Linked DNA regions of Diceros bicornis minor. The protein of the gene in region 2 purifies or fractionates together with the protein of the main gene of each other region. This does not show direct contact. Links are inferred from orthologs where the notes say so. Each region holds a gene or a part of one and is shown on either strand. Other genes may lie near its edges.

Region 1 (7,231 bases), on a different chromosome or scaffold from region 2:
GTGCACGCCCCGCTGCTGGCGGCCCGGGTTCGGATCCCGGGAGCGCACCGACGCATGGCTTCTCCGGCCATGCTGAGGCTGCGTCCCACATACAGCAACTAGAAGGATGTGCAGCTATGACATACAACTATCTACTGGGGCTTTGGGGGAAAAAATAAATAAATAAATAAAATTAACACACAGTGAAGTACGATGCAAATGTTAAAAAAAAAAGATGGAAGAAAATCTTTATTTTCATTATTTCATTCCCTACTTTACTGGTAGGGAGTGACATCCACAATAAACTAAGTAAAAAAGGTGTACAATAGTGTACCTTTTGTGAAAGAAATAAGGCGAAATATATGCATTGCTTATTTTCACAAAAAGAAACACTAGAAACATTAAACTGAAAACTAATAAAAATGGTTACCTATAGAGGATGGGAATGGGTTTGAGTGGGTGGAGGGGATAGAGACTGACGTGAAAACTTCTCTGAGAATACCTCTTTACATAGTTTTGATTCTTGAGCCAAATAACGGGGTTTTCAGATTTAAAAATAAAATTACATCTAAAAAAGCCAACATTAAAATTGAAAACAAATGGAAAGAGTTGAACTTAACTATATATCAAATTGCTCCGGTAAACTCCGAGAGAGAAGAATTATTTCAAGTGACTTTTGTACAAGGCATTCTGACTGAACATCCTTAATGTAACATAATCTAAGGACAAAAAGAACTTTAAAGAAATCTTAAACCTCACTCAGCAAATGTATTGTTATTGATTTTTTTGTGTGTGTGTGAGGAAGATCAGCCCTGAGCTAACATCTATTGCCAATCCTCCTCCTTCTGTTTTTTTTTTTTCCCCCAAAGCCCCGGTAGATAGTTGTGTGTCACAGCTGCACATCCTTCTAGTTGCTGCATGTGGGACGCGGCCTCAGCATGGCCAGAGAAGCAGTGTGTCGGTGCGCGCCCGGGATCCCAACCCGGGCCGCCAGTAGCGGAGCGCACGCACTTAACCGCTAAGCCACGGGGGCCGGCCCAGTGTTATTGATATATTGATATTTTAGTATTGGTATTTTAACTTAGAAACTTTTAAATATATTTTGTAGGAACCAAGATTTTCAGCATAAGAGAAAAGAGATACAAATGTAAAATCAATAAAGAAAAAAATGTTAAATTTGAATTGGAAATCAATATACGAACTCATAATTTAAAAAATACATTTCCTATCTCTGAGCACTGAAAAAGCCTAGAAGCAATGACATCCAGTGGCAAAGAGAACATCTACTGCCCACATCTTGAGTCTAATTACTATTCCGAAACTGAAGGAACCAGGATGCCTGAGACTGAGTCCAAGTCTGTGACAGGGAAAGTACATAAGTGGGCCTGGGACATCCTGTACCACTAGGCCAAGAAGTTGTCCAAGACTAATGGCATCATGTCAAAAAGACATAGGATCCACTCACCCTGTACGAAGGGACTCGTATTGGCCCCAAAAGAATAATGATTGCAATTGATTGAAACAACTTACGTCTTAAAAAACTCATAAATCCACAATGATACTCAAAAAGAGAAAGCCAGAAAAAAAAATTCATTTTTCACTACTTGAAGCTTAATATTAAAGCTTGAAGTTTAATATTAAATTGAACTCTTTACTTCAAAAATTGGTCATTAAAGGGAAAAAATTAAGCATTTACCCTGTTTTTTAAAGGTTAATGAGGAAGAAGACTTTTTCACAAAAGAGCTTTCTATTGATATAGAAGGAATAATGGAATTAGAACATTTTTATTTAATCACCAAATATTTCATTATTAATTCAGGAAAGATTAATCAATAGACGACCAAACCCTGGTGAAAATTTGCAGGGGAACAGGAAATGGACACCACGCCAAAGTCTTACTCTGCAATTACTTGTTAACTACAAAAAGTGAACTGTACCTAATGGAGAGATCTGATGGTCACCACCTTAAACAAGTGATCAAACTTAGCATCAATCAGTAATTTGATGTATCTCCTGATGTCATACAAAACGAAGTTCATAGCTATACCTATGACATATTCTTGCCAAAATGTTTAACCTGAATCTAATCACTCCAGAAGATGGAATATTCTTAGAGACAACTGGCCAGCTCTCTCAAAAAATTCATAAAAGATAAAAAGATGAGTGGACTATTTCTAGAATAAAAGAGACTGAAGAGATATAACAACGAAATGCAATGCTTGAAACTTGATTGGATCCTGATTTGTGAAAACTTCCTATAAAGACACTTTTGGGATACCTGGGAAAATTTGAATATGGACTGAATAGTATATATTAGGAAATACTTATTAATTTTTTTAGGTGCTATAATGGTACTGTAGATACGAAGAGTGTCCTCATTTCAGAAAAAACAAACTGAATTATTTTGGGATAAAGTATCATTATGTCTATAATTTACTTTCAAATTATTTTGCAAAAACACAAACTATATCTATAAATACATACATATACAGCAAACATGCCAAGATGTTAGTCAGTAGATCAAGATGGTGGGGATACAGTACAGGTATCTATTGCATTATTCTTTGAATTTTTATCTAAGTTTTTCATTAAAAATATTGCGGAAAGATGGCATTTGAGTCAAACTTTGAAGAATGGAATGTGAATACTATTCTTCTTTTTGTTTGTGTGAGGAAGCTTGGCCATGAGCTAACATCTGACGCCAATGCTCCTCTTTTTGCTGAGGAAGATGGGCCCTGGGCTAACATCCGTTCCCATCGTCCTCTCCTTTAGCCGCCAGAGTACGTCTTGACAAGCGGTGCGCCCGTGCGCACGGGGGAACGGAACCAGGGAACCCCGGGCCACCGCGCAGAGCGCGTGAACTTACCCACTGCGCCCCCGGGCGGAACCCTGAATACTATTCTTCAGGACTGTTGTTCTTCCATTAGTTCATCATAGACAAACTCAGAAGCAGATAAAAAGAGAAAAATTGTGACAATCTAGAGATAACTACTTTTCATGTTTTGAACTACTGTGTGTATACTACATATTTATACTACACATCCTATTTAATATACACTGTTTTCGTTTTCTGCTTTTTCACTTAACAATATGATGGATGTTTTTTCTGTCAGTAACTGTGTATCAGCATCAGCTGACTGGCTGCATGCCATTCCATTATAGAGATACATTTAACTAGTCCTGTATTGTTGGATGGTGTGATAAACATGTTAACATACCTCTTTTGCCTGTGTCTGATTACTCGGAAGGGTAAGAATTCAGGCTGTGGAAAGAGCGGAGGTGAAAAGATGTGCAGAGGCGGGGCGACTGAGCAGAGTTAAGGCATGTATGGGGAAAGCTGAGAAGCTGACTTGGTCTGGGGCGTAGGCCCCTGTGGGGAAGGAGGGTGGAAGGAGACATCGCATGCTGAGCCTCGAATGAAAGAATTTGAGACTTGCTCTCACGTAATCTCAAACTACGCCAGGTACTGTTTCGAGCACTTTCTCCTGTGTAACTTACCTAAATTGCAAGTACTACTGTTATTCCTATCGTAGGCCAGGAAACTGAGGCTTGGGGAATTTCAGTCGCCCGAAGTCACCCCGCTAGTGAGGAGGTCAGCCCTCTAGTGCGCCGCAGGCAGCACAGACAACGCAGCTCCGGAGCCTGAGCGCTATGATCCCCACCTTGCCGACGAGGAACCACGGTGCGACGCTGAGCCTAAAACGCGGCCTGCCTGTCTTCACAGCCTCAGACACAATAGCAGGTGGTAACGGTGTATGTTAATACGGTTTGATCTGTCCCTCTCATCCCCCAAAAGGGTAAAAAGCATTAGCCGAGACCATAGAAAACCTCGATGGATTCATCTCCAAAATATTGGAGTCATTTCACACGGCATTCCCCCCAAGTGGCCATCTGCCTGAACTGAACTGACTGGCAGTCAGGCTACAGCGGCGTAGATTCCCCACAGCTCGACGATTCCATTCCAAAGGCGCGCGAGCCTCCAGGCGGAACGGCTTCCCGCCTCCCCGCCGGTGGCAGCCAGCGCCGCAGCAGCCTTTTCCCCCCAGGGCCGTGACGTCAGCACAGACCTTGGGCCCGCCCCTGGGACCTCTCTGCTTCTGCGCGCCCGAGTGACCGGTCAGCTGTGCTCTCAGCTCCGCCCGCTGCCCCGGAAGTGAATGCAGAAGCCACACCTCCCTTCTCGGCCGGCAGGGGCGCAGCCATTTTAATTCATATCTGAGTGGGCGGTGGCGTTTCGTGTTGGCGGTCTGGCTCCGCTGGGCAGGGGGTAACTTGACTGGTTTGGGGGTGGGTTTTAGTTTAATTTTTCTTTTCTAGCTTCGCATCGCGGGCCAGTTCGCACCTTTTAATCAGCTGAGGCCATGTCAGCAGACGGAGCCACGGAACAGGTGAGGAAGGAGAGTGGTGGGGCCTCGTGGCGACCTCTTCTCTCCACGTCTCAGTTGGTCCGAGTACTCCAGCCATGTTCGCCCGAGGAAGGAGTCGCGGGTCTAATGAACCCGCAGGACCGCGTGCAGAGGGGTGGTGGGAATGGGAGCAAGATCTGACCGAGATTTAAAATTATTTTTTGGCTTTTCTGTCTTAGGCGCTCATATGAACAAATACTTGACTTAGACAATAGCCGGGAAGCCGCTTCCTGCCGTTTAAATTCGTGGCACTACTCCGATGGGATGCCTGCCTTTGATACCGTTTTGACGTTAGGAATTGATTATTTTAACGTGTACCCGCTGTTTTCGAAAAACTCAACAATATTCCCTCCGTCCCCTCTGCTGTATATACTGTACCCAGAAATAGGTTACTAGTTGAAGAAATTAAGATGAGACTAATTGGAGAAATAGATTCTTGCAAGAGCGAATGCAGAAGGAAGTTTGGGAGTAGAGCATGGTTATGCTGAGATTTGGGAATTTTGTGGCGTTCTCCCGCTTTCTTCTTTCTCTATCCACATTTCATTTTCGTTTTTCCAGCGATACAAATATTGCAGAATTTGATACATCGAAAGTGAGAATAAGTTGTAAAGAAAAGCAGCTGTTTTAGTATTGCATATAAGTGACGCTTAAATATTTTGAAATTCAGATTTTTAGATAAACAAGTTCTTTTGTTCTTTATTCAGAATTTTGTAGGATAGTATTTATCTCTTAGTTTGAAAGAGGAAGCTGATGTTTTAAAAGATGTCATTCAATTTGTTTATCGATGTAAGTCCTGGTATGTTTAGGTAAATAATTTTTAAAATGGAGGCTGGCTAGCCTGCGGAGTCTCAATTTCTTGAAATTTCCCTTTGCCATAGCAACGAAATACACTTAGGTTTTCGTTTTTCAAGTCCCCAGCTTATAACGTGGAGGCTGTTCTTGGAGGTTGACAGAGACGAGGCAAAATTCGAGCATTCCCGTCGAGTAGTCTGGGTGACTGTAAATTGCATTATGTCGAGAAAGTTTGGCTAAACTGAATTTTGTGTTTGCTTGTCGATTGATTTCAGTTCTGAAATCTTCGCAGTGTTTACATTTCACATGCTGTTAGAATAGCCAAAAATGCCAAATCTTAAAATTATATCAAATCTGTTTATATATAACTACCCTTTCTGTTTTTCTGGGCTCATATTTTGTCATCTGAAAGTTGAGGAGGAGTAATGTACTGAGGTTTCATTGAAAGTTTTTGGAATCCATTGTTAATTCTTAAATTTATCTAAAATTGTAATGACACTGAAATGTTGCTATGACCTGGAATAGTTCACAATTGTGGTGTTTTAAATGGGAGAGCTGGTGGTGAAAACTTAAGAGAAAAAAATTTCATCCAAAAGTTTTATTTTGCGAAGTTTAGAACATAGAAAAAAGTTGAGAAAGAGTGCAGTGAACACCTACAGTACAGTTCTTCACTTAGAATCAACAACTATTAAACGTTTTGCTATATTTGCTTTCTCTCTCTGTACATATTTATTTGAAAGTCAGTGGACACGTTTCAGCATTCTCTTATATAAGGACATTAATGCCGTTCTATGTAACCGTAATACCATTTTCCCACCTAAAAAAATTAATAGTAATACCGTATCATTTATAAAATCAAGTCCATATTCAAATTTCCCCAATTGTCCCAAGTGATTCATACAGTTTTTGTTTTTTTTTTAAATCAGAATTTAATCTGGGTTCACATTACATCATTTGGTTATGACTCTTGAATATTTCCTCTGTTTTTGTCTCCCCTAGGATAATGTCTGGTTGAAGAATCCGGGACAGTTTTCTTGTAGGACTTTTCATTTTCTGGGTTTATTTGATTTTTGTGTGTGTGGTGTCATTTAACTTGTCCCTTCATCTTCTGTATTTCCTGAAAACTTTATGTTTAGGTGTAAACTCAGAACTTTGATAATATTTGGGTTAAATATTTTTGGATAGAATACTTTATAACGTTACATCCAAAGGCACTTCATGCTAGGTTGTTCCACTATTTAGTGATGATTAAGTTTGATCACTTGGTTAGGGTAATGACTGTGGATCTCTTCATTGTAAAGGGTTATTTCCCCTTTTGCAGTTAGTAATCTGTGGGTTGATACTATGTTCCTCAATAACCTTTTACCTAGTTATTTATCATCAATTGATAATCATTGAATAAATCAGTTGTTACATTGGAGGTGGGAAATGGTAGTTTTTTAAAAATTCTGGGGGCCGGCCCGGTGGCTTAGTGGTTAGGTGCGCGCCCTCCGCTGCTGGCGGCCCGGGTTTGGGGCCCGGGTTTGGGGCCCGGGTTTGGATCCCGGGCGCACACCGACGCACTGCTTCACCGGCCATGCTGAGGCCGCTTCCCACGTACAGTAGCTGGAAGGATGTGCACCTATGACATAACAACTATCCACTGGGGCTTTGGGGAGAAAAAGGGGGAAAAAAATTCTGTTATTCTGTCTCTGTTTACTGGCTCATATTTCTCTGTAAAGAAGGAATTTCCTGTCCCCCCCGTCCCTCCTTTTTAAAGATTATCACTGTGGTCTCAAGAGTTTCTTGTATTTAATAGTATGTTAAAATCACCTATAGCCATTTTTCTTTTGGATGCTCAACTTATCCTAACCTTTATGATGGCTCCTGGATCTTTTTTCCATCGATCTAAAAAGATATTTTTGAACATCTGATTACCGACAGAGAGTCATCTTCATATAATCTTTTCTTCAACTTTTTGATATGTTTCAAACATGCAAAAAAGTAGAGCTTCAACTCATGGTTAATCTTGTTTTTTCCATGCTTTCGCTTGCTCTCCCCACCCCTATTACTTA
Region 2 (7,317 bases):
CTCTAAGAAATTAATTGAACCCGAGGAGGGGGTCATTGGAACCTCTGATTCATAGCCAATCAGTGAGAAGCACAGAAGACAACCTGGACTTGCAACTGGCATCTGAAGTAGGATGCAGGCAGTCTTGTGGCAGAGCCTGTAACCTGTGGGATCTGATGCTATCTCCAAGTAGATAGTGGCAGAATTGAGTTCAAGTGTAGGATACCCAGCAGGTGTCACAGAGAATTGCTTATTGTGGGGAAAAACCCCCACACGTTTGGTGACCAGAATTGTCAGTAGTGAAGTGCTCTGTGTGAAAGTAAAGGAGACACACAGGAGAGGAGAATGGTAGGTTTTTCCAACACAGTAGGGAAATGCAAATCAAAACCACAATGGAACACCACTTCACCCCATTAGGGTGGCTATCATAAAGAAAAAAACAACAGAAAATAACAACTGTTGGTGAGGATGAAATGGGAACCCTTGTGCATCGCTGGTGGGAATATAAAATGGTGCAGCCACTGTGGAAAATGGTAAGGCGGTTCCTCAAAAACTTAAACATAGAATTACGACACGATCTAGCAATTCCATTTCTGGGTATATACCCAAAATAATTGAAAGCAGGGACTCAAACAGGTATTTGTACACCCATGTTCATAGCAGCATTATTCACAATAGCCAAAGGTGGAAGGAACCCAAGTGTCCATCAACGGATGAATGGATAAACAAAATGTGTTTGTTTGTATACATACAACAGAATACTAATCAGCCTTAAAAAGGAAGGACATTCTTTTTTTTTTTTTATAATTTTATTTATTTGTTTATTCCCCCAAAGCCCCAGTAGATAGCTGTATGTCACAGCTGCACATCTTTCTAGTTGCTGTATGTGGGACACGGCCTCAGCATGGCTGGAGAAGCAGTGCATCGGTGCACGCCCGGGACCCGAACCCAGGCCACCAGCAGCGGAGCACGCGCACTTAAGCGCTAAGCCACGGGGCCGGCCCAGGAAGGAAATTCTGACACATGCTACAACATGGATGAAACTTGAAGACATTAGGCTAAGTGAAACAAGCCAGTCACAAAAGGAAAAAGACTGTTATGACTCCACTTACATGAGGTACCTAGAGTGGTCAACTTCATAGAGACAGAAAGTAGAATGATGGTTGCCAGGGTCTGGAGGGAGAAAAGAATGGGGAATTAGTGTTTAATGGGCATGGAGTTTCAGTTTGGGAAAATAAAAAAGTTCTAGAGATGGATAGATGATGGTTGCACAATGTGAATATACTTAATGCCACTGAATTGTACACTTAACAATGGTTAAAATGGTAAATTTTATGTTATGTGTATTTCACTAGAACAAAAAAAAATAGCAGGGCCGGCCCCGTGGCTCAGCGGTTAAGTGTGTGCGCTCCGCTGCTGGCAGCCCGGGTTCAGATCCCGCGCGCGCACTGACGCACCGCTTCTCTGGCCACGCTGAGGCCGCGTCCCACATACAGCAACTAGATGGACGTGCAGCTATAACATACAACTATCTACTGGGGCTTTGGGGGGAAAAAATAAATAAATAAAATCTTTAAAAAAAAAATAGCAAACTAAAACTATCTCTGAGGTTTTATAAGAATCAAGTAAGATCTATGTAGAAAAGCTTTGTAATCTATATGGCTCTTCACAAACATTAGCTCTTTTTAGTCATTATCACCCTGTTTACCCCAACCTGATCCCATTACCCACATGCTCTACCCAGCTATGCTCACCCAGCAGTATACTGTTGGAGTTCAAGTGCTGTCCAATGATATCCACCTCCATTTTGCTAAATCCTGGATTTCATGTGCCAAGGCAACAGTGTCCCATAGTTCTGGTTCTGAAACAGAGCAAGCCTCCAAATAGATATAAGTTTTAGACAAGCCTGGTGGATTCTAGGGAAAAAAACTCAGGGACTTTCTCCTCTTTACTCAGTTTTCCCCAAAGCTTGGCTTGGAAGCAGTCCCCACTCAGCAACAGGAGGTCACCATGGCATTGCCAAGAACAAAGTAAATATTCCTCCACTTCAGTTGACCACCTAACTCCCTGGCTTGCTACCCAGCAACATATCTCATAAGGCATATCTCTTTGAGCAGGTGAACAATCCTGAAATTTCTTTGAAGGAAGAGGATTCTGGGGAAGGAAATGTATTCATTAAGCATGAATTGAGAACAAAAATAGTTAGATAAGAAAAAAAAATGAAAATGAAAATCACAAGACTAGAATGACCAGCTGTGATGGATTGGACAACTCTCTGTAACCTCAGAGTTGAACCCTCACATATTCCCAGAAAGCATAGATATTGCTGCAGAACCAGTGTGATAATGCAGTAGTGCAAAAGTTAGGAATGGTGTTTCTTTCTGCAAAGCAAGCCACTTGGTACCTACACCCAGATACTGACCAGGATCTGTGTCAGCATTCAGGTGCTCTCTGAGAGACCCAAGTTTCCTTAGCTCTTTTAGGCGCTGCTCATTGAGGACTTCTCCTAACATAGGTAATGCTACAGTGCCATCTGGAATCTTTCTCATGCAATATGTCTATCCAGGAGTTGCTGCCTTTCCAGATATTCCCTGGAGGACCAATGAGGGATTTCATTCCATGACTCTTTGAGGAGCTTTAAATGTGGGTCAAACATGAAGTAGTACTTACCTGGCCTTGGAAGTTTGACTTTCTACGGCCAGCAGAAAGAACCCGAGTCTCTATGCTCTCACAATCTTGAACATCTTTGCTTGCTTCACTTGTACCTTATCCAAGATTCTTAACATCATCAACAAGATAGGATAAGAACTCAGGACTTTTCCACAAAACTTTCTGCCAATGCCCCACAAATCTTAACTGTGGTTTCCCAAATTCTTTGATTCTCCATTATGTACCCTTTCTCTTTTGCTCAAACCCCCCAAAATAACACTTATTCTATATATTTAGCCCCATTTGTGTAGAAATGCATCTTTCCTAGTTCTCCCCCTACCTCTTCATACTGCACCTATATCGTTGTGTTAACTGAGCCTCAGTCAGAATACCTACAACAGCATCCAATGTCCCACCTTCTGTCTTCATTTTTCTATAACCCAGAGGCAAAAGAAATGTGTCACTCTGGGAGCATTGCAGTGACAGGAAGACTCTCGTGGACAACAGGCACTGAGGCAGGGGTCACTAGCACATGGCCTATAAACGAAACACAAATGTTGAAAAGCAAAAGCTTAGGAAATATCCCTCCCACACATCTCCTCTTTTATAACTAGTAGAATAGGGCTGGTTGATGAAGTGATAGAACCAACAACCCATTCTCCACAGACGGCTGATGGCAGCAGAACAGGCCAGGTTAAGTGCCTCAACCCATTCTTGAGTGGTTCATTACTATTAGTCATTGACCCACCATCACCAGGTCACACGCTCTCAGTTCTTTTCCAAAAATGGTAATAAAGTATATTGAGCTATCCATATTCTCTCAGTTATACTGGAAGGCAGAAAATACAGCAGTTAAGCATTCAGCCTCTGGAGCCAAAGCAACCTGAGTTCAAACCATGCTTTAGCTGCTTGCTGTGTCCCACCGGTCAATGATGTTTTCGGATACCCTGCCTGCCAATGTCCTCCGCCGCCCCACCGCCTCACCACCGCCAAACACACGGAGCCCAGGGGCTATGCGAAAGCAGCCAGGCACGTCTCCCTTTACCTCCCCATCTCCTCCGCTATGCCGGCGCCTTCACGTCGAGAGCCCCTCACTCTCTCAAGCTGCCGCGACCCTCTTTCCGCATCTCACTCCGTACACTCACAGCTTCTACAAAATGATAATCCCCACGCTGGTGGGCGGGGCCAAGTATTCCCCTCCCCTAACAGGGCGGGATTAAAATGAAAGTACCGGTTGTTAGCAAACGACTTCCCTTACCATGGTAAAACCGCTACCGCCATCTTTATTGAGGCCGACGATTACTTGTTAGCCTAAAAAAATGAATAAGGAATTCTACAAACTAAAATCCTTCAAATGAGCCTGGGGCCGCCGGAATCCGGCTCCGAAAGGAGCTACAGCCCAGCCAGAGTGGGTTAGCGCTCTCGTGGACATAACGCGCGCCTGCTGCTGACGGAATAACGCCAGGGGAGGGGCCCGCTGTCCGCCCGGCCCAGGCGCTTCCGGCTTACGCGCCGTACGGAAGCGTATTCGGCGCTGGACTCGCGCGCCGTACGGAAGTGTGTTCTGGCGCACCGGAAGCCGCCGGAAGAGAGCGATGGCGGGTTTGACTGCGAGAGATCCTGCGGTGGATCGTTCTCTACGTTCGGTGTTCGGTGAGAGGAATTCGGTGGAGCCAAGCATCGGTGGGGGACAGAAAGAGAGGGAATGGCGAGGAGTGTCCCTTGCACCTCGTGAATCGCCGCGGGAGCCGGTTGTGGGTCGGGCGTGCAGCTCTACCTGCCTATCCTGTGGGGCGGCCAACCTGGTGGACTCGTGGGCAAAGTGACGCTCCCCTAACCCCGAGGTTTCGCAGCCTTTCCACGATGTGCCTGAGGAAGTTAAATAGCGTTCAGCTTCTATGTGTTTCTCCTTCCATGAGCTTCAATTATTATCTAGAAGCGAGGGCGCATGGCAACTGTCCCGTACTACTTCTCACTCCCTGTCCCAGAATACAGATTATGTGCTGAAGGTATAGATCCTTGTGCCCACTTTCCGCCTTCTCATGAGGACTTTCATTCTCTGCTTTTTGCCCCTAACATTTTAGTTCGTCGATAACGGTAGCGACCATCTGGCATCTTAAGGTGGATTGTAAATAAATGAATGAATGAACGACTAAGACCTCGTCAAAGAAATTTTAAAGAGGATCGAATCTATTCTGAGTAATGTTTTCAGCCGAAATAAGTTGTTTTTTTATCAAAGTACATGTGATGATTTAAAGCACCTTTTGGAAGGACATGACAAAACAGTTCAGAATAATTTTTAAACATCCTCCACTACATTCATGGTCATTCTCCTTTGAGTGTGTGTATGTGTGGAAATACGGACATAGAAGCCGGTTTTAAAAATTATAATATTGATATTTTTAGTTGTTGTTGTTAAGACTTGGAGACTTTCAGGTAAATACCAATGCCTAAGTATTTATTTTCACCAAAGTTAAAGAAAATCTAACACTTGTCAGATCAGTCTGAGAAGTGATATTTAGGAGTGCCTACACCTTTTGTAGTTAGTCTCAGTGGTTTATTTCTCTTGTAATTAAAGTTAGCAGGCAAGATTGAAATCTTGTCTAAGGGAGTACCACAGAACTGGGATTGGAGAAACACCATATTTTGAGCCAGTTGTTACATTTTCAATGATATAAGTAGACACTGTGTACTTTCTCACTATAAAGATCTAGGTTACAAACTCAGAACTTAATATGCTATTTTCTTCCTTAGTGGGGAACATTCCATATGAGGCTACTGAAGAGCAATTAAAGGACATCTTTTCTGAGGTTGGACCTGTTGTTAGTTTCAGGTGAGATCCCCTTTTACTCCTTGGTGAGAGTTTCTTAAAAAGCCCCACAAATTTGGCCCTTAGTAATAGTGGCAAGGTTTTTACTGGTGACTTTATACATGCATTCTTTTTTTTTGTTTGTAACAGCTTTATTGAGGTATAATTCATGTACCATTCAATTCACATTTAATTTTACTAAAAGGTACATTTTTTTTCTTTTTTTTTGTTTTCCTTTTTTTTTTTTTTTGGTGAGGAAGATTGGCCATGAGCTAACATCCATTGGCAATCTTCCTCTTTTTGCTGAGGAAGATTGGCCCTGAGCTAACATCTGTGCCCATCTTCCTCTATTTTGTATATGCGACGCCGCCACTGCATGGCTTGGTGAGCGGTGTGTAGGTCCATGCCCGGGATGCACACCTGCAAACCCTGGGCCACCGAAGCAGAGCACGTGAACCTAACCACTTTGCCACCAGGCCGGCCCCCATTTTTTTCATTTAAAAAAATGTTTAAAAAATATTTCAGTGAGGCAGAGTGATGAGGTTATTTGTCTTACAGTGGACCAGATCAGGACATAGCAACGTTAGCAGGAACCCTGTGTGTATGTAACATTTGTGCCTGATACTTGGTTCTGCTCTCCAGATTGGTATATGATAGGGAGACAGGAAAACCAAAGGGTTATGGCTTCTGTGAATACCAAGACCAAGAGACGGCACTTAGTGCCATGCGAAACCTGAATGGGCGTGAATTCAGTGGGAGAGCACTTCGAGTAGACAATGCTGCCAGTGAAAAGAACAAAGAAGAGCTAAAGAGTGAGTATAAACCCAAGTTGTATGTAACATGAGTTAGTAAAGATGTAACAATGAAGATTTTCCATTTATGATATGTTTTAGCATCTGCTGAAGTGATTAGCCACACACTTTCTTTACTTGACCCATCTGAAATGCCTGCATTAGGGAAGTGTATATCTTTGAGAGACAAGGTAAAATTGACTTTAGAGAGTTGACTTTAGAAGTCCTTCAGTTGCCAGGGAGTTGATTTCCAGTTAAAGATGAGTTCAGGCTTACCAAGCCATTAGTAGTGTTAACTATGTCATTAGTGTTTGCCATTCCTGTAACTATGCCAGATCTGTAAATGGTGGGACTACTAAGGCGTTCTTATGACTTTTTTCATGAGGTAATAGATCCAGGAATTCCATTTTGAGGTTAACATCCTTTTCTGTTTAAATCTTTTGCTTAATGACTTGTCAAAAGAAATCGATATGCCTCATTCCTAATTTAACATTGTCCACCCATGTGTCCCAGCTTTCCTCTGAGAGCAGAAAATACACTCCTTCACTTCCTCCACAGAAATAAGAGACTCGTAAATCACTTATTTCTCAGCTCCAGAGAATTTAAAGTTATCAACAGGTCCTTACAGCAGCCCTGGAAAGTAGATACTTGAAGTGGTTTAGCTCTTTATTTTGTCTTCTTAACCATTTTGTACTTTCTTCCTGATCAGGCCTTGGCACTGGTGCCCCTGTCATTGAATCACCTTATGGAGAGACCATCAGTCCTGAGGATGCCCCTGAGTCCATTAGCAAAGCAGTTGCCAGTCTTCCACCAGAGCAGATGTTTGAGCTGATGAAACAGATGAAGGTGGGAGGAGGCATTAGGTTATGAATAAATCAAATCACATCAGATTTACAAGGAGTTAATTAATAAAGTTAATGGAAATGATTCTCTGAGCTCAAATAGAAAGTGTGCCTATTGACCACCATTTCTTGCACCTTCAATATTCTATATGTGCACAGTGTATTTCACATTTCATGCAAAGAGCTTTCCATTTTTGTTACACCAACACACCTACACAATCTGGCTGGGTTTTTGTGGCCCATAGAT
Region 3 (8,011 bases), on a different chromosome or scaffold from region 2:
ATCAATGAGAATGGAAAAAAAACTGTCAATTATAATCGCTAGACACCATTGACTCTAAAACCCATTCCATTTTCAGAAAGTTCAAATGGGGAAAAAACTTGCGTCTTAGCTCAATGAAATATGATAGACATTGCTATGGCTCTCTAAATAACCCTCTATATACTCTTGCACCCATTCAACAAATATTTATTGGCCACCTACTCTGTGCCAGGCACTGCTCCAAGCACTTCACAGGAAGTCTCCTTTCAGCCTTACAACGGCGCTGGGGGGAGACGGGATTATGACGCCCATTTTACAGATGAGCAAGCTGAGGCCCAGAGAGGTTGTCTGGGGTCACACAGCAAGGAAGGGGCAGAACCGGGATTCTGAATCCAGGCAGTCTGGCTCCAGATCCGTGTTCTGGATTATGCTATACAAGCAGGAACCAAGACGGACTGCAACATCTGTCCCCATGGAGATGATAGTCCAGTGGGAAATGAACAAGATAAGCAAGGGAAAATATGATGCGTGGTGGACGGTGATTTCTCTCTTTCTGTGTGTATCTACCCCTTTCATCCACCGTCTTCCATCCTCTCTCCCTCAATGCTCCATCTGCCTGGCTGCCCTGCTCCCTCCCTCCCCCTGCCCCCCCCCCCCCCCCCCCGCCCCGGGGTCTCCCAGCACTGGGGTTGCTGCTGTAGCTCCGGCGGGAGCCACCTTTGCTATGAGTCCATGGGTCCCTGTCTTGTCCCCTGTCACGTAAGTGTCTGCAGGTCCCAAGGTCCAGAGAGAAAAGGGAATTACCAGGGTCACTCACGAAGTCAGGGACAGGTGGCAACCAACCTAGGTCTGAGTTCCAATCAGAAACTCTCCCCTCTTTCTTTACGTGTCTCCAGGTAGCTCTTTTCTCCCATGTCTCTTTGAATCTCCCTGTTGGCTCTGTGTGTCTCTGTCCATCTTTCTCCCTGCCTCAGTACGTCTACACCCCTCCCTCTCCCACTCCCCATGTCCATTTCCCCAACCCCCCGCTGCCCCACTGTCTTTGCCTTTCCCACTCTCTTTCTCCTCTCCATGCTCCCTCCCTTTATATCTCCCTCTCCTCCCTGCTGTCTCCCCCTGTCTCTCCCTCATCTCTCCCCCTTCTGCCTTTCTCTCTTTGTGACTCTCCCCAACCCCATCTCTCTCCCCTGTCCTCTCCCCTCCCAACCTGTCTCTCCCATCTCTGTCTCCCTCCCTTGGCACTATCTTTCCCTCTGTCTCTCTCTACCCCACTCCTCTCCCACCTCCCATCTCTCTTTCTCCTTCAGCTCATCCTTGTATCTAGCTGTCTCCTTCCCTCAGCACCACCATCTCACCAGAAGTCTCACATGGAAATTGGAGCCCCAGCTACTCCCCTGCCCGCATGCACCGGTCTCCCCCGGGGTTGGCTGGTTCTGCCCCCTCCCCAGAATATGGAAAGAGGGTCCTTCAGAGATGAGAGGAGAAGGTGATGGACTCAGATGGTGATGGACCCCACTTCTCCAGCTCAGTCAGACTCTCTTGTATCACAGAGGAGGACAGACTGGGACCCCAGGGCCCTCCTTTTCTGGCTCCCCACCCACCCGGAAGTCCTCCTTGAGGTCTGACCTCAAGCACTCCAGCTGCCCTAATCCACCCTAGGCTTTCCCACGCCCCGGGGCTGGGATGAACCCCCAGTGTCCGGGTGTGAGCCGGATCTCCCCCGCCAGGGTGGGGTGAGATGGGGGAAGCCCTCAGGGGACCTGCACCCCCACCCCAGGAGGCTGGAATTTCTCCCCTTTCATTTCCTTATTGTCTCTGGAGGAGGGTGTGACAGGGAGCAGAGGGAGGCAGTGTGAAGCCAGAAGCCTAGTTTCTAGTCCCAGTCCCAGCCCAGGACCTCAAGCAGCCCCCAACACTCTAAGAGGCTTCAGACTTTCCATCTCTAAAATGTGGGAGCAGTTGAACCAGCTGATCTGTGAGATCCAGAGGCCAATGGGGTCACCCCAGGGTGATAACTTCCCAATTTCCTTCCAGACAGAGAGCCAGCCTGCGGGGGTCAACATCATCCTAGCAGGAGGGTGTGGTGGGCAAGAAGCAGTTTAGGGGCCCTCTCAGTTTTCTGTTGCTGAGTGAGCCCAGATGTTTCTCTTCCCATTGGTCTGACCCAAGGGGAGGAGATGGCTCGGCTGATGAGAAAGCTGGGGAGACCCTCAGACGGTATTTCCATTTCCAGCCCCCCATATGCTGACTCTTCCAAAATATGCCCCCAAATGCTGATCATCTCTAGACTGTCCCTCCATTTCTGACACAATTTCCACACCAATTGTCCCCTAAACTTCAGACTGTGCCCCAAATAATGACTTCTCCATCCTAGACCCCCACAATCTACTTCTGAAGATGTGCCTCCAAAACAGATTTGTGGTTGGTTCCCTTAAATCATGTCCCCAGAGTCTGAACTCTCTGGGGGTAAACCCAGTGGGATCCCCCACTACCTAAGAGCCTCCACGTCCAAGCTGGTCTCTGCCTTCCCCACCAAACAACTGACACCTCCAGCCGCCCCACCTCCACCTCTCAACAGTCCCAATCCCTTCCCTGGCCAGCCTGCCCCACCCCACGTGCACCTCACACCTCTGCAGCCCCAGGACTGGCCCCTCCTGGGCACCTTGCCAAGTTCTGAAGGCCTGGGGATCCAGGAGTCCCACCCTACAGCTTCAAACCCCAGACCCAGGACTCAGGCACACTGGGGCCCCTGTAACTTCCAGATCTCAGTCTCCTTGGAGAACTCAACCATTCCAGCCCCACACCCCCACTGAAGCCCGCAGTCTCCTTCCAGGTTAGGAACCCAAGTGTCCAGACCCCCATAAGCCTCTGACTAGGACTCTGCCCCTCTCTCCACTTCGCAATGTTGACTATGGAGACAGTGAGCTAAGGAGAAGGAGTCCTTGCAGTAAGAGGAATGGGAGTTAGACTTAGAGAAGGACTTGCTGTTTGCTGAAGTGAGGGGACTAAGATATACTCCCGCCCCCTTACTCCAGGGTGGCCTTGTCTGAGATGAGACTGCTGAGGACATTAGCAATTACTGGAGATTGCTGGAAGGAGGGGGGTAGGTGCGAAATCTGAAACCCTCCAGCCTCCAACAAGTAGAATTCCTGCTGAGGGTCTCTAATAACCATTAAACCACTGAAGTTCAGTTGGGAGGGGTGAGGGTCCTAAGTAGCCATGGGGGGAAATGGAGATTGATCCCTCTCTGGCCAGTGCTATTGCTCACATCTCCTGCTCTCAGGTTCGCAATTCTGACCCCACTTGGGCCCCTACCTATGTGAACCCCAAACCAACCCACCTGTTATTTCAGACTCCCCAAGGCAAGCTTCTTCTCTGAGCATCCCCATCTCTTATCCCCGAGCACCAACCTCAATTTCTGAACTTATCTTAGATTGCTACCCGGATCCTTAGCCCTGAACCCTAATTCTGATTTCTACCTCAGAACCCCCACCTTTAACACTATATTCTAACCCTGAGCTCCCAAGTCAGACTTCCCTTAATGGTGACCTCTCTCTCCTATCTCTTAGTTCCCGTCTTTCCCCCCAATTTTGAATCCCATTTCCTAATCCTCCAGCTCTGTCCCCTGTCCTGGAGCTCTGATTCCTATCTTTGATTTGTTCATTTTAATTCCTTGGATTTTAGGTCCCTAACACCCAACCCTGACGTTTAAGCTCTGACATGACCGTTGCCTAAATTTTCCTGACTCCCATTTAAGCCCTCACGCGGACTAGCCTACCTAAACCGCGCTCGCGTGCCTTGTCCCCCGTCCCTGACTCCTACACCTGGTCTTCGTGTCTCTAGTTCCTCCGCTCCTAAACTCTAGTTGGGGCCCCCATTTGAGCCCACACCGCGGTCCTTGCCCCCACATAAGCCCGCACCCCGATTCCTGCCCCCCATTTCCCGCTCAGCCATCCCCGAGGACACACCTCGCCCGCCTCCGGGTAGTAGCTCCATTCGGCCAGGTCATGGGCCTCCATCTTCACCGAGCCCAGCATCCCCCGGGCCTGCGCCCCCCCCCGCCCCCGCTCCGGCCCGGGGGGACCGAACGCTTCGGATCTCTCAGCCGGCACGGCCCGAGTTCTGACCGGGGCACGCCCGTCTGACCGCCCGGGGTCCCAGCCGTCCCGGGCTCCGCGGGAGGCGGCCACGCTTTATAGCCGGGACACCCCCCCGCCCTCACCCGCCCCGGGCTCCCCTCCCGCCTCCCCGAGGGCGGCGCGCTCGGACTGGGGCGCCCCCTGCGGGATTGCGAAGAGATAGACCTCAGGCGTCGGGAGCCGCAGCCCAGGGACGCGAGAGCCGGAGATGGCAGAAGAGTGAGGGAGCTACTGGTGGGAGACACTACTGATGCTAAGGGCCCCGAGGGCAGAACTCTGGGGCCCTTCTACCCCAGGGGGTTTCATCATCTCGACAGGAGAAGCGAATAGCCAGAGCGCGGCATGACCGCCGCGGAGGAAAGGGGGCTCAGAGCGCAGTGCACTCCAGGGATCCGGATATGCCAGTATAAGGACCAGTAAGAGACCCTCGAAACCATATTCTCATTGATCGCACTGGAAGACTGAAGCTTCCGACAGCTAGAAATGCTCCAGACTGTGTAAATGGTCAGGACCAAAGGTGGATGGGATCGGGGCCTCTGCTCAGATCCCAGTGGGGCAACAGACCACCTCCAAGACCTAGGAGCTTCGCCGCCCGAACTCGCCACTCCCTCTAACGCCAGCCGTCCAGGGACTGAGAACCTCTGTGAACTCCATTTCCCAGAAGCCTCTAGCTCCCTTTCCGTCCCGCGCCTCCGCCAAGGGACTACATTTCCCAGAAGGGATGGCGTCAGGAGGCCGGAAATGAAGAGCCGCCCGGGAGTAGTCTGGGGGAGGGCGGAAAGCCACTCGAGAGGCGTGAGGGAGGGGCGGGGTCGGGCCGCGGTGTGGACTGCATTTCCCGGCGACCCTTGTGTGTGCGGCGCGTGCGCAGTGTCACGGCGGCGAACGGAAGATGGCGGCGGCGGCGTCTGTGAAGAGGCGCTGCTGAGGGGGCGCGAGGGGTACGGAGGCCGGAGCTGCGGTGAGCGGGGGGGCGGCGTGGGGGCCCGGCGACGAAAGGAAGAGGGACCCTGAAGCGGCAGGGGCGCCGGTCGGGGGTTGGGGGCGCTGTGAAGAGGGGAGCAGTGACGTTCGGGACCTCACTGTCTTCCCCTGCTCAGGACCCTCCCGTGGCTGCCCAGTGGCCTCAGGCAAAGTTCCAACGTGGCCCCCGAGGCGCGTCCGCCCCGCCGGCCTCGACTCTGCCTCTTTGCTCCTTCCCCACTTCGCACAGCTGCACTGGCCTTCCGGTTCCTCAAACTCGCCTTGCGCCTTCCCGCCTCAGCCTTTTGCACACGCTGTCTCCCTTTTACCCATTCCGCCTGGCTGACTCCCATTCATCTCTCGGGTCTTGGCACCGACGTCACTTCCTCTGCGAGGCCCTCCTTTCCCGCCCTCCGTCCCGAAATCCGCAGGCTGAACGCTCTCATAGGTCCCTGTTCCTCTCCTTCATGTCACGTGTGGTCTGGTTTGTTATTGGACCTGTATTGGTGCGGCTGTTTGATCGTGTCTGTGACCGTGAGCTCCACGGGGGCAGGGACTGGGTGGGTGCTGGTCACACCGAAGACACCCAGTTAGTGTTCGTTGAATGAATGAAAGATCCTCCTGGGGCCGCTCTGTGTAAAAGAGGGAGTCGTCATACTCCCAGGTGGGAGTGGGGGAGTGGTACTCCATAAGGAGTGCACGGGAGAGAAAGGAAACAATCATGTTGCTGATAGCAAACGACTGCAGACTCCTCGAATGTTCTTTAATAGAGACACTGGCAGGAAGAAACTGATGACATGCACATAATAAAGTAAAATATAAATAAAATGAGAGAGGAGGGAAAAAGGAATGAGGAAAATCTCTATACACTGATATAGAGAGTGGGCTCCAGCATATATTAAGTGAAAACAAATGAAATGGAAGACAGTGTTTATTCTGTGCTGCCTTTTTACAAAAAAAAAAAGGAAAGTATGTGTATGTTTAAAAAGAATAAAAGGATAAGCCAAAAAGTGGAAGAGGAAGGACAGAGAGTAAAACATTTTGGTGGATCTCAAAGTATTATCATCATGAAAAGAGTGGAAAGTTTCGTCGTGAAAGCTTCATTCTGTTCTGATGGGGGACAGCAGTATGCTGGTGTCGGGTGGATGTGCCCCTTGGCTTCCATGAACAGACCTGGGGTGGAGAAGCACTTCCTTTCAGAGAGGCGTACAGCAGAGTGTTGAAGAGGATAGATTCTGCGCCCATAGTGCTGGTCTGCATCTTACAATCTATGAGCCTTCGGTCAAGTGACTTTACCTCCCTGGCCTTCAAATTTCTTTGTCTGTTAAATGGAGGTTAAAAATAGTACCTGCCTCCAGCCAGCCCCAATGGCCTAGTGGTTAAGTTTGGTGCCCTCTGTGTTGGCAGCCCAGGTTCAGTTCCGGGCGTGGACCTACACTGCTCTGTCAGCAGCTATGCTGTGCTGGTGGCCCACATGCTGAAAAATAGAGGAAGATTGGCACAGATGTTAGCTCAGGGCGAATCTTCCTCAACAACAACAACAAAAAATAGTACCTGCCTCAAAGAGTCGGTGTTGGGGAGGGAGAGGAAATTGAAATTTGAAGTAGGGTCATCAGGGAATACCTCTCTGCTGGGATATTTGAGTTGAGACCTGAAGGAAATGCGGAAGGAGGGAGCTGTGCCAGTATCTGGGGCGAGGAGTATTCCAGGCAGAAGGAAGAGAAGGACAAAGGCTTTGAGGAGTGGGCATGCTTGGCATGTTCAGGGGACAAGAAGGAGGCCAGAGTGGCTGGAGCAGAGAAAGCTGGGAAGGAAATGAGGGCAGAGGTAAAAGGGGCCAGATCATATAAGGTCTTGTAGGCTTATAGTGGGGACATTGGTTTTGACCCTAAGCAAGATGTGGGGGTGAGTGGCAGCAGGGAGACTAGGAAGGAGGCTGTTGGATAGTCATTCATTCAGCAGACATCTGGTGAGTAACTCTTGTATACATTACATCATGGTCCTTTTGAAAGATGCATCTTCTTACCCTCCTCAAATTATTGTTAACAGTTTGTGCAGTATCCTTCAGATCTTTTCTGTGTACATAAAAATAGTAGCTATACTTACCTCACGTTCCTAACTCATCTACCCCTCAGAAGAGTCCTGGGATGGAAAGACTGTTCCTATCTCTTTTACAGAAGAGGAAACTGAGACCCCACTGTTTCTTGCCTTAGGTCATTCTGCGTATACTACACAAACTTGACAAAATTGCATATATTTTTCTGTGGTGCAGCAGGCTGTCGGGACATCTTTTTATGATGATAATACATTGAGATCCACCAAACTTTTTTTTACCCTTTCCTCCCATTTCTGCCTTTTGGTTTATCCTTTCAGTTCTTTTCTTTTTTTAACATGTATACATATTTCCGTTTCTTTTGCAAAAAAGGAGAATACAGAAAACGTCTTCCACTTTGCTTGTTTTCACTTAATATTTGCTGGAGCCCACTGTTTATCAGTGTGGAGAGATCTTCCTCATTCTTTTTTCCCCCCTCCCTCATTCCTTTTTACAGTCGCATGGTATTTTATTATGTGGATATATCATGGTTTTCCAACCAATCTCCCTATTTAAGAACATTTGGGTTCTGATAGTCTTTTGCTATTAGGAATAGTGCTGTAGTTGATAGCCTTCTTATTTCATAATTTTGCCAGTGTGGCTTTGGGACAGATGCCCAGAAGTCTCCCCCCTCCTTTTTAAAAACAACTCCGTGGGCCGGCCCCGTGGCTTAGCGGTTAAGTGCACGCGCTCCAAGTGCACGCGCTCCGCTGCTGGCAGCCCGGGTTCGGATCCCGGGCGCGCACCGCTTCTCCGGCCATGCTGGGGCTGCGTCCCACATACAGCAACTGGAAGGATATGCAGCTGTGACATACAACTATCTACTGCGGCTTTGGGG
Region 4 (7,017 bases), on a different chromosome or scaffold from region 2:
GATCGCTAAAGAAGTTTTCCGGTTATGACATCCTCAGAGTACTCTTTCCAAAAGCAGCCAGGCGGAAACGAAAGTCCAGCCGCCCACCGTAAAGAAACCCCTATTTTTCTTCCCTTTCCCCGTCTCCTCCGCTGGAAGCCTCAGGAAGCCCTGGGCCGCTCCGGCCCTGGCGAGGCCCGGACCCCCTCCCATACACACACAGAGGTCTTTCCTGGAGACGCACCCTCCCCGTCTGCACAACCTGCGACCCCAGACCCACCTGCGGCCTCGGTGCCAGCAACGACCCCACGACCTAGGGTAGTGGCGACCCAGCCACCGGCGCCGGCGGAAGCTGCGGCCTCGGGACCTACCATTCGCCGCGCCCGCTCGAAGAGAGGGGCGGCACGGGAAATCATCCCTCTTCTTCCTTTTCATGTTTGATATTTCTCAAATTATTTTAGCTTTTACACATCATAAATTACTTAAAGATAAAATTTCAGTCCCAGAGAACGAGACTGGTTGGTGTAAGCGCCACCTCCTTCCTATAGCTTTGGCCCCACCCCCCTCGAAGATGGTATCACCCTGGGTCTTCCCCGCCTCAGCCGTGCGCCTCCAGTTTCAAAATGGCGGCCGCCATTGAGGGGCCTCTGTTGGCGGATCTTCACGGATGGTGCTGAGCGAACGTCAGCTTTTCTCACTCTTGAACCTGAATTCGACTAGGGGTTGGGCAGGGCAGTGGACGGCGTTGGGGGAGGACTGACGAGGCAAGTGGGGGCGGAAGAAAGTGCGCCTTTGGATGGGGGAGGGGGCGTCTTCGGCCCTCCGGGAGAGCCTGGCTCCAACTCCGACCGGGTCTCCTCTGGGGACGTGCTCCCGGGGTTTCGGTTGCGACTGTCCTGGTCGTTCCTGGCAGAAGTGCCCAGCGAGGGAAAGAGAAGTGGCTTCTCCAGGGGTCTGAAGCTCTCGGGCTTTTGGAGCAGACCGTACGGCTCACTCCCAGGCTCTCCTTCCTTCCTTGCTGCTGTTTCCCTTCGCCCTTTCAGTCTCGGCGCAGGAGGAGTTAATCCGACGCCAGCTTTGCTCCTTTGGCTCGTCGTTACCGTGTTCTCAGCCTTCTCGCTCGGGGTCTTCCTGTCTCTCGGGTTGAGAGATCACGAGGCTACCCAGCGGTGGGCGCAAAGTGGGCGTCCTTTTTAGTTAATCGACTCCGAAGACCTTTTAGATGTCGCTGTGCTTTATTAAAACCGTCTCGGCCCTCCAGTTCCCTCTCTCCATCACTTCCACCATCACTGCATTGTGCACGCTCTTCAGCAAACAGCAGTCAGACTAGCCATAACCCGGCAAGTCTGGCCCCCTGTGCCCAGGGGAATCTGAGTTATCAATTGTCCCCCCCCCCCCCGCTTTTAAATTTTACAATCCCTTTGAACCTTTTAGGAAACTGCTGCCCTCCCCGAACTGACCAGGGAGAAACTTTTCGCGCTTAGTGAGCTCGAGAGCCAACCCAGATTCCTTCGTTCTTCCCTTGGATTTTGTATAGTTCCTCTTAGTTGGCGTCAACAAGCAAGGTCATTATTGAGAGAGCAAGTAACTGCGATAGATCTTTGAGATGAAGTAGTAATGCTCGGAATCACTGCCGTGAAGGAATGTGTATGGTTAGGGTTCATTCCATCTTTCAGTACACATTTATGTTGCTTTGAGCACTATGCTTGGTATTGCCCAAAGATGATCACTTTTACTCTTTGGCAATACATTCAACAAATATTGTTTGTGCCTACTTTGTGCTAGGTAAACATAAATAACGGCCTGAGGACACCAAAAAAGCTTTGTAAAGGAGTAAATATTTGAGGTGGGTCATGAAGGGTCTAAAGGAATTTACTAGGCTCAGGAGAAGGTCATTCCTGGATGCAGTACAGGGATGCAGGGACTTGAGAAGTTTGGTGTACTTAGGGAGAGGGAAAATATATGTGCTTGAGCATGCAGTGCAGGGGTGGTTGGTGAAGCAAGAGGAAAGTTGAGATCAACTTGTGAAGGACATTGATTTCCAACTAAGAAGTTCAGATTTAATTCATTAGTTAGCAGGAAGCCAGTGAATACTTTGCACAAGGTAGGGGCATGAGTATATTTTAGGATGGTCTCTGACAGCTGTGTGGAGGGTCAACTTGGAACAGGAAAACTAGATGAGAGGAAATGGCAATCATTCAGGTAAGGCAATGAGTGCCTCAACTGAGGTAGGATAGTAAAGGATGTCAGAGAGACATGTCTGAAATGTCAAATAGAGTTCAACTGGGGGCAGCCAATTTGGTGGTAAGAGGGTGACTCCAGAGTTTTTAGTCTGGAGACTAAATGGTTGGTGATTCCATTAAAATCAAGCCAACGACATGTACATAAATATAGAGTGGTGCCAACAAATATAGAGTGGTGCCAACCTGCACTTTAGGAGTGGCAGAGGATAATGTTCTACGGTCCAAAGCATCGATTTTAAGAGTCTAGACCAGTGCTATTACAGTAGCCACAAGCTACATGTAGCAGTTGAGCACTTGAAATTGTGGTTAGATCAAATTGAGATGTGCTGTAAATATAAAATACGCAGTGGATTTTGAAGACTTAGTATGAAAAAAGAAGATAAAATATGTCAATTATTTTTTAATAATGATTACATGTTGAAATGACTATATTTTGGGTATATTGAGTTAAATAAAATATATTAAAATTAATTTCACTTTTAAAACTTTTCACTGTGGCTGTGAAAATATTTTAAATTACATTTGTGGCTTGCATCATGTTTTTGTTGGACAGAGCTGCTGTAGCCTAGACTAATGATAGAGGAATTAGGAAGGAGGTGGAATTTGAGCTGGGCCTTGCTGCTCCCTTCAATGCCAGTTAAGGCATTCAGGTTTTTGTTTTTAGTTTTTTCAAGCAGTAAGAAGCCTTTCAGAGATTTCTGGGCAAGGGATAATATGTGCAGGGGTGCTTCTGAAGATTAGTCTAGCAGAAATATTTAGGTTAAGATGAAGGGAGGAAAGGCTGGAGGCAAACAGAGAACCCAAATGTAAGGTAATGAGGCCCTGCATTAAGGAACTGGCAGTAGGAATGGACAGGGAATGATACGTGTGCCGGGCATTCTGAGGGAAAAATGCTCAGCAGTAGGTAATACACTGTTCAAGAAGTAAAAGAAGGAATCAAACATGTAGAGTTTCAGACCTTGGTTACCTAGATAACGACTAATGAATTCATGTCATAGAATTATAAAGTACATTTGAGGCTAAAGAAATTTAGTTTCAAAATAAAACCAGCAAAATTGAAAGGAGGAAGTGGTCTGCTAAATACTCTCCCCTTTTATCTCCCTGGTTTCTGTATCTTCTTATCTCATCAGTCATACACATCAATTAATTTTCTTAAAATACAGAATTGCCTGTATCATGTCATCTTCTTACTTGATAATGGATCTTAAAATGTTTCTCTGTTGCCTGTAGAGCTAGATCCAAAGTTACCAAGGCCTTTTATTATCAGGCCCTTTTCTATGCATTAGGCCTTTTCTTTCATTTTTTGCTTATATGAAAATGTGCCAGGCTAGTTTTTTCACTAGTATTCTGTAAATTTTTGTTTTGTGCCTTTGATCGTGTTATTCCCCTGTTTTGAGTACCTTTTCTCTTTGTCTCTTTGTACCCAGGTCCTACCAACCCTTAACAAATATTTTAAGATCCCACCTCTTTATGATTCCCTGTAACATAAACTAATGTCAATTTTTAAAATCTTATTTCCTAAACTGCATATTGCAGCCTCTGATAATAACTAATTTGGTTCATTATTATTTATTTTTGTCTTTTGTTATTATCTTTTATTATTTTATTCTTGTTTTATGTAAGCTTAAACTTCCTAAAATTATGGTTTCTTTTTTAAAAAAGGACCATATATTATACTACTTGTTGCTGCTCACAGTGTTCATCTTAGAACAAGACATAGAAGTTAAACACCATAATTAATAACAGAAGTAAATTGTTATACCATGTTCATGAGACCCTTGTTTCTTCACTTTTTAGATTTATAAAGAACTCTTCCTTTGAATTCATGGTGTTTCATCCGATATACGACTGAGATATCAGTAAGTAATGAATATCTAATAAAGATATAGTTTTATTATATTATGAGAAATTGTAATAAAAATATATTTTCATCTGTTGAAATCTGGGTCTGTCTGCAAAAAAATTTAACATGAACTCATTCAGTTCTATCTGCAAGATACTTTTTATTTTCACTTCGTAATCTAAATAAAGACAGTGAGAGTTAAGGTAGATTTCAGTAGAAAAAGAGTTTCTCTTAGGCCATGAATATAATTGTGGTACAGGAAGCTTTCTGGCAGTGAGAATTTCTTAGGTCCTTTCCAAAATTATATTTATAAACATTTTTCATCAAATAGAGAATTAGTATCTTTGTACTTCTCATACCTGACAAATAGGAACATGTTAAGTCAGTATATTTTTAATTTGAACTTGTTTGTTTCAACAACAATTTATTGACCAACCACTATGTGTAAGACGTGCTAATATAGTAAGGATACAAAAATAGATCAAGCCTAGTCCTGCACTCAGAGAGCTCTCCCAAGCAAGGGGAAATGCATGCAAATAGGTAACTGTTAATAGTGTGGTGAGGGCACTAAGCTCAGGTAATACTAGTCATGCTTCATGCATTTATTCAAGAGGCATTTGTTGACCGCCACTCTGTGTCAGGCACTATGGAGGCACTGGAATATAACTGATCCAAATAGACAAGGTCTGTACTTTCATGGAGTCCATATTCTAGTGTAGGGGTTAGGAAGAGAGAAGAGGACGGACAAGGAGAGTAAACACAGACGTTGCCAGAATAGAAAGCAGGAAGTATTTTGAGGGCGTTAGAATGATGTCATAGGCTGTAACTGAGGTGGGGAAGGACGTTAGGGTGGTCAGAAAACTGTGTCTGAGAGAATTAAGTTTGAGGCAGGGAAAATAGACAAACTAGTTAGAGGTCTTGGTGACAGTGGAGATAGAAGGAAATTTGAGAAATAAAATGGAGGCAAAAAATGCAGTACTTACTGATGGATTGGATGTGGGAAGCAAAGGAAGGAATCAAGGACGATGCCATCAGAGATCAGATGATATTTAAAGCTATGGAACTGGGTGAGATTACCTAGAAAGAGAAGAAAAGAAGTCCTGCTGAAAACCATGGCCACATTTAGAGGCTGAAGAGCGAAAGAGGAATTAACAAAGGAGATTGAGGAGTGGCCAGTTAGGTAGAAGGAAAGCCAAGAGAGGGTTGACACAAAAGCAGAGAAAGGAGGGCGTTTCAAGGAGGATGGAGCAGTTCATTTGACTGAATGCTGCTGTGATTTCCAGAGAGTTGAGGCCAGAGAAATGTCCATTGGCCTAAGTTGTATAGAGGTTTGTCAGTGACCTTGGTGAAAGCACTTCTAGGATATCGTGGGGAAAGATGCCAGATTTGGTGGTGTGAATGGGAGGAAAGAAAGTGGAGACATGTTTGTGGGCAAATATTCTGAGAAATGTTGCTGTGAAAGGGGAGCAGAAATGAGGAAGTGGTTGGAGGGATTGTAGGATTAAGAGAGGGTTATTTTAAGTTGGGAAATTCTAGAGTATCTTTGTATGCTAATAGGAATGGTGCATCGATGATACATAGATGATGCAGGGGAAAGAAGGAATGACTGAGGAAGTTCAGTCCTTGAGAAGGTAAATGAGAATGGGATCCAGAGCACACATAGGACACTGGCCTTGGACCAGAGCAGGGCTCTTTATTCCATATAATAGGAGACACAGCAGTGTACACGCAAATAGGTTAGTAGATATGGTATTGGAAGATGAGAAGTGACTGTCTGATTACTTTTATTTTCTAATTGAAGAATGAAGTGAGATTACCAGCTTTGAGTAAGGTGGAGGGGGTGGTACATGATGCTTGAGCAGAGAAGAGATGTGAAATAACAGTCTCAGAGATGGAAAGTCAACCTACTAAGAAAAATCAGATTCATAGGTAGCGCTTAGTGCCTGTTTGAGATCTTTGGTCATGAATTTAAAGAGCAAACAGCACAGTTGTGTGATTGGGTTTTTTCCTTTGGCAGCGTTCAGCTGCTGGAAAAGACAAAGTGAAGGACTGGAGTCAGTTAGGGTTGGGGTTTTGCCACGCTAGTACAGAGAAGGGCTAGGGCATCAAGGTACTTGAGAGTGTTTGCAAAATAATCCTGAGGGATCGTGGATTGATGGCAAGACAAGAATGGAGACAGGAGGGGGTCATGGATAGTGAAAAAGTGGTCAGTGGGTTAGAGATACCAGTGAGGCCAAAGGATTTTTGCAGTGGGAATGCTAGAGTAAGTAAGGTGGTAGTGAGAGGGTGAGGTGCTTGAACGTGAAATTTTGAAAGTGGCATGGCTTATTGGTAGTGATAAGGTCTAGGGTGTAAACGTGATTGTGGGTGGCTGAAGTGAAGTGAAGATTGTTGGAGTTGAGAAAGTCAGGGGACTAAGAAGTCAGTATTGAAGCTCCTGAAAAAAAAAGGCTGAGTCAGGAACTCAAGTCCTCAATGACAGGTCAGATTACTGCATACCAGCGATGATGAGGAAGTGGAGAAGGCTCATAGTGAACTAGCTGGGTAGCGTGAGCTGTGATGGGACTGGAGTATTTGAAGGGGGAAGGAGAAGACATGGTTTGGAAGCTGCAGTGAGGAGCAAGGAACACATACCTCCTGCTTTTGCGGTGCAGTAGTCCCCCCTTATCCAGGGGGATACGTTCCAAGACCCCCAGTGGATGCCTGAAACCGCAGATAGTACCAAACTTTATATATACTATGTTTTTTCCTATACATACATATTTGAGGTGCAGCAGAAAAACTAGGACAAATTTTTTTCCTTCACATTTTCACAGAAGATTCCTTCTTACTGTAGATCTTGGCAACCTCAGCATATGATTTTTTTCTTTCCTTATTAAGTCGAGAACTTGCACATTTTCACTTAAAGGAAGCACTTTATGGCTTCTCTTTGGCATATCCGAATTGGCAGCA

The links.
Region 1: the proteins of CSTF2 (region 2) and CSTF3 fractionate together in Homo sapiens (co-fractionation; 4 studies listed by BioGRID and IntAct, with this or other methods). This does not show direct contact. The link is inferred for Diceros bicornis minor from reciprocal best matches to the Homo sapiens genes CSTF2 and CSTF3.
Region 3: the proteins of CSTF2 (region 2) and SYMPK purify together in Homo sapiens (affinity purification with mass spectrometry; 4 studies listed by BioGRID and IntAct, with this or other methods). This does not show direct contact. The link is inferred for Diceros bicornis minor from reciprocal best matches to the Homo sapiens genes CSTF2 and SYMPK.
Region 4: the proteins of CSTF2 (region 2) and CPSF2 purify together in Homo sapiens (affinity purification with western blotting; 3 studies listed by BioGRID and IntAct, with this or other methods). This does not show direct contact. The link is inferred for Diceros bicornis minor from reciprocal best matches to the Homo sapiens genes CSTF2 and CPSF2.

What each region holds. Positions count from the first base shown.
Region 1 is NC_080770.1:35,104,645-35,111,875, forward strand, and holds the start of CSTF3 (cleavage stimulation factor subunit 3), read left to right. Parts: upstream 1-4,226; 5' UTR 4,227-4,340; coding exon 4,341-4,367; intron 4,368-7,231. UniProt on the Homo sapiens protein: One of the multiple factors required for polyadenylation and 3'-end cleavage of mammalian pre-mRNAs.
Region 2 is NC_080781.1:93,991,963-93,999,279, forward strand, and holds the start of CSTF2 (cleavage stimulation factor subunit 2), read left to right. Parts: upstream 1-4,313; 5' UTR 4,314-4,576; coding exon 4,577-4,637; intron 4,638-4,664; exon of another isoform or gene 4,665-4,826; coding exon of another isoform or gene 4,827-4,827; intron 4,828-5,382; coding exon 5,383-5,461; intron 5,462-6,079; coding exon 6,080-6,249; intron 6,250-6,937; coding exon 6,938-7,074; intron 7,075-7,317. UniProt on the Homo sapiens protein: One of the multiple factors required for polyadenylation and 3'-end cleavage of mammalian pre-mRNAs. This subunit is directly involved in the binding to pre-mRNAs.
Region 3 is NC_080773.1:20,037,179-20,045,189, reverse strand, and holds the start of SYMPK (symplekin), read left to right. Parts: upstream 1-5,004; 5' UTR 5,005-5,079; intron 5,080-8,011. Other genes in the region: FOXA3 (hepatocyte nuclear factor 3-gamma), read right to left, coding at 3,948-4,016. UniProt on the Homo sapiens protein: Scaffold protein that functions as a component of a multimolecular complex involved in histone mRNA 3'-end processing. Specific component of the tight junction (TJ) plaque, but might not be an exclusively junctional component. May have a house-keeping rule.
Region 4 is NC_080763.1:37,946,328-37,953,344, forward strand, and holds the start of CPSF2 (cleavage and polyadenylation specificity factor subunit 2), read left to right. Parts: upstream 1-4,017; 5' UTR 4,018-4,081; intron 4,082-7,017. UniProt on the Homo sapiens protein: Component of the cleavage and polyadenylation specificity factor (CPSF) complex that play a key role in pre-mRNA 3'-end formation, recognizing the AAUAAA signal sequence and interacting with poly(A) polymerase and other factors to bring about cleavage and poly(A) addition.